Linked DNA regions of Xenopus tropicalis. The protein of the gene in region 2 purifies or fractionates together with the protein of the main gene of each other region. This does not show direct contact. Links are inferred from orthologs where the notes say so. Each region holds a gene or a part of one and is shown on either strand. Other genes may lie near its edges.

Region 1 (3,500 bases), on a different chromosome or scaffold from region 2:
TCCAAACTCTTCAGCTGGACCCCCAGTTTGGAATCGGTGGGCCCTGCCTGAAGCAGGTCTGGACTGGGATTCCAAATAGGCCCTGGCATTCCCAGTACACAGAGGCACAAACCACACCCCCCCCCCCCCGGCTCAATAAATAGTGAGTGTCTATGGAATCTTACAGCAGCCCCTCTGGCATTTGCCTGAACCTACAGATTTCCAGTCCGGGCCTGGCCTGAGGGCAGGTAGATGAGTTTTGGGGGGAATGCCTATTAGCTTTCTTATACTTCTATAAACCCAGTGTGATGCAGAATGAACACAGAACTAAGTCCAGAATGTCCACAATGTTAATGCTCCTCAGCGGAATTTATACACATGGAATCGTCTTGCCCATAAATTCAGTTACTAGACCGGATCAATATTAAGACAGATCTATCCTTACCAATAGACCCCATGGTACCAGATGAAAGACATTTTGCCCCAAAAGGGCACATCAGACTCTATTATCTATACTGTGCCTGTATGCAAAGCAGACCATATCTATGAACTGGAAATCTCAGACCTACCCTAAAGTCCTGGGAACAAATTAGAGAGCCCCCCCTTCCCCACACCCATGGATAAATTTGTAAAATAACAACCACTAACTGAGTCCTTGGACTCCTGTGTGATCACTGGTGTCATGTTGGGAACCTTGTTGGGAGAAACCCCAGAGCAAATGTTGGGCCTCAAAACAGGGCATCAACCATAGACACCCAGAAACCAATGTTTTAGGCTGTAGAGGTCGCTGCAGGGATATTGCCCCTTTGTACAAATGTTTTTGACTGTTACATATAAATGCATTTAATCTTGTCATTTCAGAGGCTTGCAATGGATCCCCGGTGTAAGGGAATGCCGCTGTCCAGCTTCCTACTCAAACCCATGCAGAGAGTAACCAGATACCCGCTCATCATTAAAAATGTATGGAACCTTTTGTTTTTCTAAATGTGCCCCAAACTTTAGCTTCTATCTGTAACATCAGATCTGTATGTGTAAGTGCCCCCCGCTGTGCCCCCCGCTGTACCCCCCAACTGTACCTTCTGTACGGCAGCACATTAGCATTATAAGCACCAGCGCAACTCATTACTGATAATGGGCTGAAGCCTTGATTAATAATCTGTACTTATGATATGTATTAATTTTCTGTTTTGCAGATTATTGAAAATACTCCAGAAAATCACCCTGACCACAGCCACCTGAAGCAAGCCCTAGAGAAAGCCGAAGAATTATGTTCCCAAGTGAATGAGGGGGTTCGGGAGAAGGAAAACTCAGACCGACTGGAGTGGATTCAGGCGCACGTTCAGTGTGAGGGTTTGTCTGAGGTACGTCCTGTAGTCCAGCCGGCCGGGTAGGGAGCCTAACGGGCCCAGGTGCTCTGTACAGTACTCAGCTAATGGGCCCATATCAGCTCTGTACAGTACTCAGCTAATGGGCCCATATCAGCTCTGTACAGTACTCAGCTAATGGGCCCATATCATCTCTGTACAGTACTCAGCTAATGGGCCCATATCAGCTCTGTACAGTACTCAGCTAATGGGCCCATATCAGCTCTGTACAGTACCCAGCTAATGGGCCCATATCAGCTCTGTACAGTACTCAGCTAATGGGCCCATATCAGCTCTGTACAGTACCCAGCTAATGGGCCCATATCAGCTCTGTACAGTACCCAGCTAATGGGCCCATATCAGCTCTGTACAGTACCCAGCTAATGGGCCCATATCAGCTCTGTACAGTACTCAGCTAATGGGCCCATATCAGCTCTGTACAGTACTCAGCTAATGGGCCCATATCAGCTCTGTACAGTACCCAGCTAATGGGCCCATATCAGCTCTGTACAGTACCCAGCTAATGGGCCCATATCAGCTCTGTACAGTACCCAGCTAATGGGCCCATATCAGTGCTCTGTACAGTACTCAGCTAATGGGCCCATATCAGCTCTGTACAGTACCCAGCTAATGGGCCCATATCAGTGCTCTGTACAGTACTCAGCTAATGGGCCCATATCAGCTCTGTACAGTACCCAGCTAATGGGCCCATATCAGCTCTGTACAGTACTCAGCTAATGGGCCCATATCAGCTCTGTACAGTACTCAGCTAATGGGCCCATATCAGCTCTGTACAGTACCCAGCTAATGGGCCCATATCAGCTCTGTACAGTAATTAGCTATAGGACTCTGTGTCTTGGTATGCCACAAAGTGAGGTATTTCCTGTGTGCCAGACTGGGGGCCTTGAGCTGATAACATTGGGATTGGCTGAAGTACTAAGGCAGCAGGGAATCCTGGGAGTGTGACCCACTCATTGCCCAGTGAGACCCACCAGGTTGCAGGTATAAAGGCAAAGTAGTAAGGATTCCTGCACATTCAGCATCTCCCTACATAATAATTTCCTCCCCCTTTTTCTCCAGCAATTAGTATTTAACTCTGTTACAAACTGCCTGGGCCCACGCAAGTTCCTGCACAGTGGGAAACTGTACAAAGCCAAGAGCAACAAGGAACTATACGGCTTCCTGTTCAACGACTTCCTGCTGCTCACCCAGATCATTAAGCCCCTCGGCTCCTCCGGCAACGATAAGGTGTTCAGCCCCAAGTCCAATCTCCAGTACAAGATGTACAAAACTGTGAGTAGCCTTGTGACTAATACTGCACAGTGGCACAGTGGCACAGTGGGGGGTATTTCCTAACATTGGAGACCACCATCACCGGTGATGTTGCCCATAGCAACCAATCAGATCTTTGCTTTTGTTTTAAAACTTGTAGGTGACCATTCCAATCCAATCGCTTATTGGTTGCTATGGGCAACATCACCATTGATGTTTTTATCCGATCTCCCAGCTTTAGGCCCAGTGCTGGGACCTCATATTTAAAGTTGATGTTTATGCATGAAATCCTGTGTTTCAGCCAATATTCCTCAACGAAGTGCTGGTGAAACTGCCCACGGACCCATCCGGGGATGAGCCAATCTTTCATATTTCTCACATTGACCGAGTCTACACATTGCGTGCAGAGAGCATCAATGAGAGGTCAGAGACTCCTCCCCTTGCCTAGGTAGCCACACCCTTTATACACAATACATACTGGGTAACCCCGCAGTGTTCCATTAGAACCAGTTCTGCTTTGCACTGGGCACTTATCCTGCAGTAAAAGGGAATTACACAAATATGTATTGTAAATAACAGCACCAAAATGAAAATATAAATAGTCTTTCCATAACTGTAGTAACTGCTGTATGAATAAAGGATCATTGTGTAAATGCCATATTCTATAGGACGGCCTGGGTGCAGAAAATCAAAGCGGCATCGGAGTTGTACATAGAGACGGAGAAGAAGAAGAGAGAGAAGGCCTACTTGGGTAAGGGGCTTTGGGGGGGAATCCTTGGGGTGTTTTCATTGGAAACATGGAGTTTGGGGTATTTATCCTATTTAAAGCAACACCGACACCTTTCCGATGGAAGCAGAAGTGATCACCTGAGGATTTGCTACCCT
Region 2 (2,967 bases):
AGGGGTGGAGGGGTTTGAGAAAAAAAGTTAACAATCATATATAGGTATGTATGAGCTTTTTCTTAAATGATAACAAATATCTCTTTTATCCCAAATTACCTGTTATCAACTTGATACCATTACAGTACAAGCCTCCAGATTCAGTGAAACACAATTGTTTTCTGTATGGTCTTGTGCAATTGATATTGCCAGTAAACCCCACCTCTAAAATGGAGGTATTGAGATATAGAATGCAGGCTAACAGCACACTGCACTTTTACAATAACCTGTCAAACTTTTGAGTCAACTCAATGGAGAATACTCTAATTTTACCAGTGTATGTTAACAAAGATGTCCATTAATATGCTTAATGCATAGTTACTGTGTAAGTAATATTTACAATTACAGCTATGAATTTGGTTAAAGCAAAACGAAAGGAATTCAGTGCATTGGAGTTATTCACATAGGCAAAGGACGTGACACAAATCAGCAAATAACAAATGGCTTGTTATACCTTCAGTGCACACTGACACCTGCTTCCACATTTTCATCCAGTGAACATAGTCTGCTTTTGCATTACGGACTGTGACTAAGGTTTGTTTTAAAAACTACCCTGTAATGTAAGATACACGCGATATGTTACAAACAATCCACAAAACTACTGTGTTACTCTTTCTTTTTAATTCAGCTTGATTCCCTTAGCCTGCTGACTCTTCATTCTTTCTCTAAGATCCAAACTTCTTGCTTAGAGTGCATTATTTATATGGCTATTCACCATGTTTGTTCATGAAGGCAAATGTCTGAGAGACGAGAGAAGAAAAGCCAGAAATCCAACAGGAGAAATATGAAGAATGTGTGCGTCACCCAGGAAACTGGAGAATATTTGAAGTTAGCCAGTAAATCTTTTGACAAGTGCAAGGCACTAAACTAAATATATATATATAATTATATAACTAAATATATATATATATATATATATATATATATATATATATATATATATATATATATATACACACATGCTATTTTTTAGGTGGCAAGATTTTTTTTCTGGCCATAATATAGATATTTTTTGTTACTATTTACATGTGTAATTGATTCAGTAAGGCTAGATCAATGTGTCTGCTACAAACATTTTTCCTATCCATGTATTGCTTGTTTGTCTTTGGGCTGAATTACTAACATAGCTGCTAAGTATTTTCTTATTATTCCAACAAATGTATGGGGTGCCACAGGGAGCTACATTAGTGCAATATAGCACCTATATTAGTAAAGCAGCCCTATTGAATTTGGCTAACCAGATAAAATAGAATTTTACCCTTCTTGCAAAAATAGAGTAATGTATGAGGCTATAGCCTGTGTTGTGCATATGATATTCCATGGATATGTTTGCATTTATACATATGAGAGCTACCATATTGCTGTTAGGGAACAATAGGGTGCAGTATGAAAGCTCCCGCTGATGAAAAACATTGTAGGCATACAGTTTGTTCCTTCATAATTTCTACATAGTTTTTTTTATTTCCCATAACCAGACAAGCATGAATAGGCCATGTAGGCCATTGTGTAAGCCATTGTTTCAGCACACTTTTTAACACCTAGTATTTAAAATGAGGAGGGAGTTTCAAATGTTGCTTTGGAAACTTAATAACATAACATAAATTCTAGAAAATAAAGTGAAAGTATAAAATAGACTCTGTGATTTTTCAGGTAAGGAAAAAGCATTTTATTTGGCAGGTGAGCAACAATGTCAGTTGTGCATTTGCTGATGGACCACAAAGGTGAAGTTACTGATTCCTCCTCCATTTTTCTGTCCCACAGTTTGGGAACGAGGAGCAACAGCTTGCTTGGGCAAAACGCGAGAGCCAGCGGGCTGAGAAGGAAAGACTAGACCGTTTAAAACGTCAGGAGCAGGAAGACCTGGAGCTAGCGATTGCCCTCAGCAAAGCAGAGATGCCGAGTTCCTGATAGTCGCACTCTCCTGGTCTTCCCCATCCTGTGCCCGCAGGATTATATGCCAACGCTATTGCAACCGACACCAACTCTGCATTCAGGACAGAGGTGGACAGGAAGCCGAATGACTTCATCCTAAACTAGCGGTCTTTATTTCTGAACTACTAGCCAGTCACGGGGAAGCTGTGGCCATGACATCACCATAAAATGACCCCAATGGAACTGCTTGATGGGAATATTCACCTGCACATATATTCTAAGCAAAGGAACTGCTATCCAGTCATCTCTTGTTTTATTTTATTTTTCTATATCAGGGAAATATTTTTTTTTAATCATCCTTGCTATCCCCTTTACATTTCATCTGATGCCCTGTTTGAATTTTACACCAAGTAAGCATTTGCTTTTATTTGTATGATAAGCTGTTATGGCCTGCATGGAATGACTGGGCTGTTTGGAGTGAATGTAAGATGTTCAGTTGATCCAAAACCCTATGCCTACATTAAAAACAATTTTTACAGGTACCATCCCGCAGAAATTGGCTTATGCAAATGAAATTTCATTAATCTTTGGATTTTTTTAAAATTTGCATTTCTTTTAAGAGATTCTTATTATTCTGATTTTAACTTACTGCAAAAGGCAACAGTGGGGAAAGAAAATCACTATCACTTTCCTCTGTTTTGGTTTCAGAAGACATGAAACCTTCACTGCAAAATACGAGCGTTATTGGAATGTTTGCATTCATTCTTGAGTGGTGCAGAGTGGAGATCATGCTACATTTGAGTGGATAAAATGTTTCAATTAATACTTATTCTTAACAATTGTTAAGCATAGGATTGTTAACCAAACATGAAGTTTAGCAGGTTTTAAAGCCAAAATCATACCAAATGGCATATTTTTGTGATTATTTCAAATGAGACCCATAACTTTAAATCTTATTCTGCCAGGCAGAATAAGCTGTCAGTGTAGTTGGTTTAAGTAGAGGGCATGAAGGATGTCAGCACTGAAGTCATGTAATACAAATGAAGGTTTGAAACC
Region 3 (3,173 bases), on a different chromosome or scaffold from region 2:
GAAAACTGTCTACTCTGTGCCCTAGTCGCCTGCTATAAATCTTCCCTACTGTGGGCAACTTATCTCATGTGACTGCTTTACGCTGGCATTAAAGTAAGCTGCCAGTAGGAAAACATACTCGATTTTATGAAGTTTAGTACAGGTATGGGATCCCTTATCCGGAAACCCATTATCCAGAAAGCTCCGAATTACGGAAAGCCTGTCTCCATAGACTCCATTTTAATCAAATAATTCAGAATTTTAAAACTGATTTCCTTTTTATCTGTAGTAATAAAACAGTACCTTGTAATTCATCCCAACTAAGATATAAATAATCTTTATTGGATTCAAAACAATCCTATTGGGTTTAATTAATGGTTTATTGATTTTTAGCAGACTAAGGGCTCTGGCACACGGGGAGATTAGTGCTAATGGGATGCTAGTTCGGGGAGATTAGTCGCCCGTGACAAGGGAGATTTGTCGCGGGCGACTAATCTCCCCAAACTAGCATCCCACTGGTGAAAATGTAAATCGCCGGTGGGATGGCACACGCTGCGCAGGCGATTTCAGCAAATTGCCAAAAATGCCTCGTGAGGCAACTTCGCGATTTGCCGAAATCACCTGCGCAGCGTGTGCCATCCCACCAGCGACTTAATGTATATACTCGAGTATAAGCCTAGTTTTTCAGCACCCGAAATGTGCTGAAATCTCCCCGTGTGCCAGAGCCCTTAAGGTATAGAGATCTAAATTATGGAAAGACCCCTTATCCGGAATACCCTTGGTCCCAAGCATTCTGGATAATGGGTCCTATACCTGTACTGTAAAGCATTCATAGATTAGTCGCCCGCAATGGAGGAGATTTATCGCGGGCCACTAATCATCTTGTGTACTGCCCAAGGGCAGTGACAGATGGGGAATTTTGTAGCCCACGATTAATATCGGCTGCAACTGGTAACAAAACATCCCTTCTTTCCTCTCGGCTAACATGCAAACATACACAATACAGGCAACTTTGCACTGTGTATGTTTCCCCAGCAGCAATACGTCGGTGGAGAGGAAAGAAGGGATGTTGATTGGCTTCATACTATGTTTACAAAAGCACCCTTTTGGACCCAGTATTCAGTAAGGCTAATACCAGATGGGGCTGATTCTTGGCCTGCGAATAAACATAGTCCAAGGATCAGGCCCTACGCTGGCAGCCTTTTCCTGTGCCTGTGTGCAGGCTTATGGAGCGGATTTTGGCTCTGGAAAGCATACTGACACAGGGAAAAGCTGCCAGTATAGGGGATGATTCTCTGCCTCTTAATAAATGGCATTTAAACTAACTCAGCTATAGTTAACATAAACAACTATACAAAACCTTCTTGCAAATTCTTCCATTTCCTGTTCCTATGCTGTATCCAAAAAGCATCCTGTCATACCTTTTTTTTTAGTTTAGGAACTTTAAGATCATATACCGCCGTTATGCTGGGCTGTATTTCTGTATATGCGTGGACGTGACAGATAATAACCTGGCTTATCTGGAAGCCATCCACAACTTTGTAGAGGTAAGTAGATGGTATAAACATGGACAGTGAGCTAAAACAAAATGAAATGGAAATAAAGAAACTTGGAGGGTTGGAGAGATCAAGGGTGAGAGGGTTATACTGACAGAACAATTAAATATTTGAGATTAAAAAAGATTATTCTAAAAGAGGTATGCCTTTTCTAATTAGCTTTTTCTAATCCCAAATTATTCATTGTTATGTCAGTATAACCCTCTCACCCTTTATCTCCCTGACCCTTCCAGTTTCAAACCCAGTCTACAGTTTCTACAAATAGTGATATTACTAATATGAGGGGCAGGGTGTTTTCACAACTCCAGTTTTTAATGAGGACCCAGCGTAAGCCTAACAGAGTCTACACAGTCTTGTGTGAACATCTAAATATGCTTTCAATAACTGTACAAGTATTCACTTTGGCAGACCAATGAAGTGCTGTTACTCATGCCATTATTGCTTAATTATTGATTTAAAAACACTTTTTTAGAAATGGGTAAATAAACAATGTGCTTTATAAATGATACAAATATAAATATATTCACTAATATATATGTCTAATTTGCTTTTTTTTTTTACTTTAGGTGTTAAATGAGTACTTCCATAATGTATGTGAATTAGATCTGGTGTTCAATTTCTACAAGGTAAGACTGCTCTTTCACATTCATTAGTAAATCTCACCCTTTTCCTATCAGTTGCTTCTCTCTCCAATGCCTTTTGTTTCTTTCTATTAAACTTTTGCTTTTTCATTTTAGGTGTACACAGTGGTGGATGAAATGTTTTTGGCTGGTGAAATTAGAGAAACAAGTCAGACAAAAGTTTTGAAGCAGCTGCTGATGCTCCAGTCCCTGGAGTGAGAGTGACTTCTGAGCTGCCATCCACCTAAACTCTCCAGCATCTTGTGTATATATAAATATATATATGTCTTCCCCTTTCAGTCTTGAATAACATTCCAAGCAGGAGCTAAACCTTCTTGCATTGCCCTCACTAATTACCTCTGTATTCTGTTTCAATTTATTCATTATTATGTGACCCATTACTGCCTCTAATCCATAACTCTATATCCTACCTGCCCCTGTCTCTTTTGTTTTCTCTTCTCAAACAAATGAAGTTTTTTAACTTTTAATGTGAAAACAATAAAATATTCTGTGTATAATGATGCTGTGGGAGAGAATTGGAGAAGGGATGATGTGCTGTAGTGAGCTGGTTGCAGATAAACTGGCCCCAAGTGAAGGGAGAGAATATAGTTAAAGTACTTTGTTAAGGAGGAACTTAAACACCTTGTGTGTACTGTAAATTAACAGCAGCTCTGTGCAGTTAAGTTTACATTCTCCTGATTTGGTAACATTTCATGTGCCCCCCCCTCCACTGGTGTCATGCACCAGCACAGTCAGAATGTGCAGCACCGGGAAATGTAATGGTGCTTCCCCAGTAACATATGGGTTGTGTGCTGCCTAAATGTGCTAACACACCTAGTGCTAATGATTTACAGAACTCAGTGGAATCTCAACAAAACACAAGTTAACCTGGTGTATACCAAGATCCTGTGCAAAGTAGAACAATCCATGGTGCAAATCCCATACTCCCCTTAAAGTTGTACTTGCCAGTATGGATTGAAATCTTCACAGAAGCAGCACATAATGGAGTTCTGCTAAT
Region 4 (3,500 bases), on a different chromosome or scaffold from region 2:
ATGGAAAGTGAAATTGCCTGCCCTACCTGTTTGCCTGAGGTGTAGAGGTGGCGCAGGCAATATATGACTGACAGCTGAGATTTAAAAAAAATAAATAAATAAAAAAAATTGGGTTTCATATTTAATTTAAAAATAACTTTTCTACAGTTTTTTATGTCTGGATGATAGGCCCCCTTAATTATGTTACAACTTGGGAGAACATTTATTTTTTGCCCTAGATAGTCATATGAACTATGGCTGAAGCCAAGAGGGATGCCTGACCAAATTCAGGACGTCAAATGGAAACAAACAACCACTGCCTTATGTTGTGGCTTTAGTAACCAAAATTATATTAATATATGTGCCTTATATTGCATTATGTGCTGAGTAAGACCCTCTTTTATAAGAAGCAGTTTAAGGGGCAGATTTATTAAAATGAGAAATTAGAGCTCACCACAACAAAATCAACCCCCCTCTATTCATTTCTATGATATTTTTAGAAGTGTATTTATTCAATGGGTGAAAGTTAAAGTTCCCCATTTAATAAATAAGCTTCTAAAAATCCCATAGGAATGAATAGAAAGTGGGTGACTTTTTCTGTGGGGAGCTCTAATCTCACATTTTGATAAATCTGCCCCTAAGATCCCCATTCCTTGCCTACATTGATTTGCTGGGCATATTTTCCACTTTACCCAACACTCATAGGATTCCGCAGACCATATTATTTTACCTTCTCTCCCTCGCTCAGAGCTGGCGTTCCTGCCTCCAATATTCTTCAGCTTGTCAGCAAACTTCTCATCCAGGCTAAGTTTGGAGATTCGCTTCTCAGAATCTTTACGGCCAGCACTTTCCTTACGTCTTCTCTCCTCATCCTCTGCCTTGCTTTTTTCCTCCAGGTCCTTCTTCAGCTGGGCCTGCCTGCGTTTTTCCTCTTCCTGCTGCTTCTTTCTCTGTTCTTCTTCCCTCTCGGCCTGCCTTTTCTTCTCTTCTGCCAGTCTTTGCTGGGCTTCCCTCTGCCGTGCTGTCGCTTCCTCCTCTGCTTTTTGCTTTTCCAGAAGCTTCTGTTCTCTTCTTCTCTCATCCTCTAAGCGCTGCTGCTTCTCCTCTTCTTCTTTTTTAAGATTTTCCAGCCAGAGGTTTTCTTTCTCTTGCTTGGCTCTCCTGGGGGAAGGGGAGATAATGGCAGAAGCAACAGGAATTAGGCAAATCGATGTGAGACATGGTCATTCAGGGTTAGCGAATGGCAATATTACATACACAGTTTGGATATAACCTGGGTTAGCCAATAAGAGGTGACAAGGAATCTTAGAATCTTAAGACTGCTAAAGGTCATAGAATTTCATGAAAATAGGAACTGGAAATACCCTTCCTAAAGATAGCACAGCCCCAGGTGGCCATACACCATAAGATTCCCTCATTTGGTGAGGCCGCCAAAGGAGGAGATCTTTCCACTGATATGCCCACCTATGGGGGGGGATACCGGAGTAATGCAATTAAATGACCCTTGGGCCAAATGATCAAATCATAATGACGGGAATAAGACACGTCGGAGTGAGGACCATATAATGAGCAGATGTGATCCTCGATGACACGGAAAAATCAAACCTGCCCGATTGATATCTGTCAAATCTTAGGCCAGATATCAGTCGGGCAGGCCCATCTAGGGTGCCTATAAACTGCTGAATCGGGCTGAAGGACCCGAATCAGCAGCTTAAATCTGCTCGTGTATGGCCACCTTTAGCGCTAAGAATACATAGTGAAACCCTTAAGCAGACCTTGCACTAGCCATTTATGACGCCCCCAGTTTTATTCCATGATAATCTCATGGTAAACAACCTGTTCTGCAGCAAAGTTGATTCATTACCTTGCAGCCTCCTCTTCCTCCTGCTTCTTCTGTGCCTGCTCGGCTCGTTTCTGCTCAGCTTCCCTCAGTTTTTCCTGTTTGATCTTCTGCAGCTGATGTAAGGCAGACTGTTGCTTACTGTAGCTCCCTCTCAGCTCCTGGGCAAGACACAGCACACATCACACAGTCAGTAAAGGGAGTGGAGCAGCAGGCACGAAGCAATGCACCATAATACAGCGAGGAGCTATGGTATCATCGGCACATGCATGGACTTGTGAAGATCTGAAGCCCAACAAAGATGGCGGCACAATATGGAGAAACAAGGGAATTGTGGGCATTCCTGATAATTTGCAGCACAAAAACAATGGGTTTGACAGATTACGAAATGTGATAAAACCTGAAACCGTACTGCAAGATCCTGGGGCCAGGGCCCTCACAGGCTATTGTGTTGCTATGTGTGTGCATTCCCCAGTCACTGCTGAAATAACTGCGGCATTAATAGGATAGTTCATGTTTAAATGAACTTTAAGTATAATGAAGACATTGATAATCCAAGACAATTTGCAATCGCTCTTTATTTTATTTTTTATATGTTATGGTTTTTCAGCAATTTTGTGTTTGTTCAGCAGCTTTTCAGTTTGGTATTTCAGCTGCTAACTGGTTGCTAATTACACTAGCAACCAGGCAATGGTTTAAATGAGAGAAGGGCATAAATAGGAAAGGGTATGAAGATATACAAGTAATAAAAAGTTACAATAACAATAAAACTCTAGCCTCAGAGAGGAAGTTTTTTTTGGCTGCCGGGGTCAGTGACCCCCATTTACAAGCTGGAAATAATCAAAAGTGAAAGGCAAATAATTTAAAAACTATAAAAATAATGAACACTTGCAAAGCTTGCTATTCCATAAATGACAAAGTTAATTTAAAGGTAAACCACCTCTTTCATGTAAGCTTGAAATCTGCTGAATGAGGCATAAGCATTGGCTAAAAGGCTGATTCTGTGTATGTTCATATTTATGCACATAGCAGCACTACACAGTACCCCATATGCTCCCTGATGCAGGGAGAGAGCTGCAAAGGAATTGTGTACTTGGGAACACATACGGTAGCTATAGGCAAAAACACAACACAACACCAAGATGTGTACAGTATATGGAATCAAAGTACTATGAAGACATCCTACAAACAGAAGGCGACCATTGTTCTTCCCCAGTGCAGACATGGATGAGTCCAATCAGACACAGGGATGGCATGAATAAAGATGCCCATACACTGGCCTTGACAAACCCAATATCCATAGCCCAAAGATACCGGTAGGGATAGTCTACCCAACACAGAAATATCTTATTGGTAACTGTATGGCCAGTCTAACAGGCTATTTTACTAATCATACAATCAGAAAACCAAACTAAATAAAATATGAAGGGTAAACTGCTCCCAGCATTGGCATAGGATCATTATCAATCAGCTTCTGGGATATCATTTGTATCCTGCAGTCATTGCTGTTATATAGATTTTTACCTATTTTTTATAACAAATTCTTGAGTTATAAGGAATTTAATTGATGTCAAAGAGGAAAATGGAACCTTTGCAGAACAGCAAGTCTCATATGCACAACTCACCCCACAGGTAGCACTGGCACAGATTTCACTGGTCCCCCAAAACAACTTGGATTCAA

What was found. Proteins that work in one complex are often made in the same cells at the same time.
Region 1: the proteins of eps15l1 (region 2) and itsn1 purify together in Homo sapiens (affinity purification with mass spectrometry; 4 studies listed by BioGRID and IntAct, with this or other methods). This does not show direct contact. The link is inferred for Xenopus tropicalis from reciprocal best matches to the Homo sapiens genes EPS15L1 and ITSN1.
Region 3: the proteins of eps15l1 (region 2) and ap2s1 purify together in Homo sapiens (affinity purification with mass spectrometry; 4 studies listed by BioGRID and IntAct, counting the BioPlex papers as one, with this or other methods). This does not show direct contact. The link is inferred for Xenopus tropicalis from reciprocal best matches to the Homo sapiens genes EPS15L1 and AP2S1.
Region 4: the proteins of eps15l1 (region 2) and itsn2 purify together in Homo sapiens (affinity purification with mass spectrometry; 5 studies listed by BioGRID and IntAct, with this or other methods). This does not show direct contact. The link is inferred for Xenopus tropicalis from reciprocal best matches to the Homo sapiens genes EPS15L1 and ITSN2.

The regions. Positions count from the first base shown.
Region 1 is NC_030678.2:14,215,870-14,219,369, forward strand, and holds part of itsn1 (intersectin-1), read left to right. Parts: intron 1-840; coding exon 841-939; intron 940-1,172; coding exon 1,173-1,340; intron 1,341-2,423; coding exon 2,424-2,636; intron 2,637-2,916; coding exon 2,917-3,038; intron 3,039-3,283; coding exon 3,284-3,366; intron 3,367-3,500. UniProt on the Homo sapiens protein: Adapter protein that provides a link between the endocytic membrane traffic and the actin assembly machinery. Acts as a guanine nucleotide exchange factor (GEF) for CDC42, and thereby stimulates actin nucleation mediated by WASL and the ARP2/3 complex.
Region 2 is NC_030677.2:112,411,776-112,414,742, forward strand, and holds the end of eps15l1 (epidermal growth factor receptor substrate 15-like 1), read left to right. Parts: intron 1-1,800; coding exon 1,801-1,947; 3' UTR 1,948-2,467; downstream 2,468-2,967.
Region 3 is NC_030684.2:70,196,750-70,199,922, forward strand, and holds the end of ap2s1 (AP-2 complex subunit sigma), read left to right. Parts: intron 1-1,412; coding exon 1,413-1,526; intron 1,527-2,101; coding exon 2,102-2,161; intron 2,162-2,272; coding exon 2,273-2,374; 3' UTR 2,375-2,673; downstream 2,674-3,173. UniProt on the Homo sapiens protein: Component of the adaptor protein complex 2 (AP-2). Adaptor protein complexes function in protein transport via transport vesicles in different membrane traffic pathways.
Region 4 is NC_030681.2:145,787,835-145,791,334, forward strand, and holds part of itsn2 (intersectin-2), read right to left. Parts: intron 1,981-3,500; coding exon 1,844-1,980; intron 1,141-1,843; coding exon 710-1,140; intron 1-709.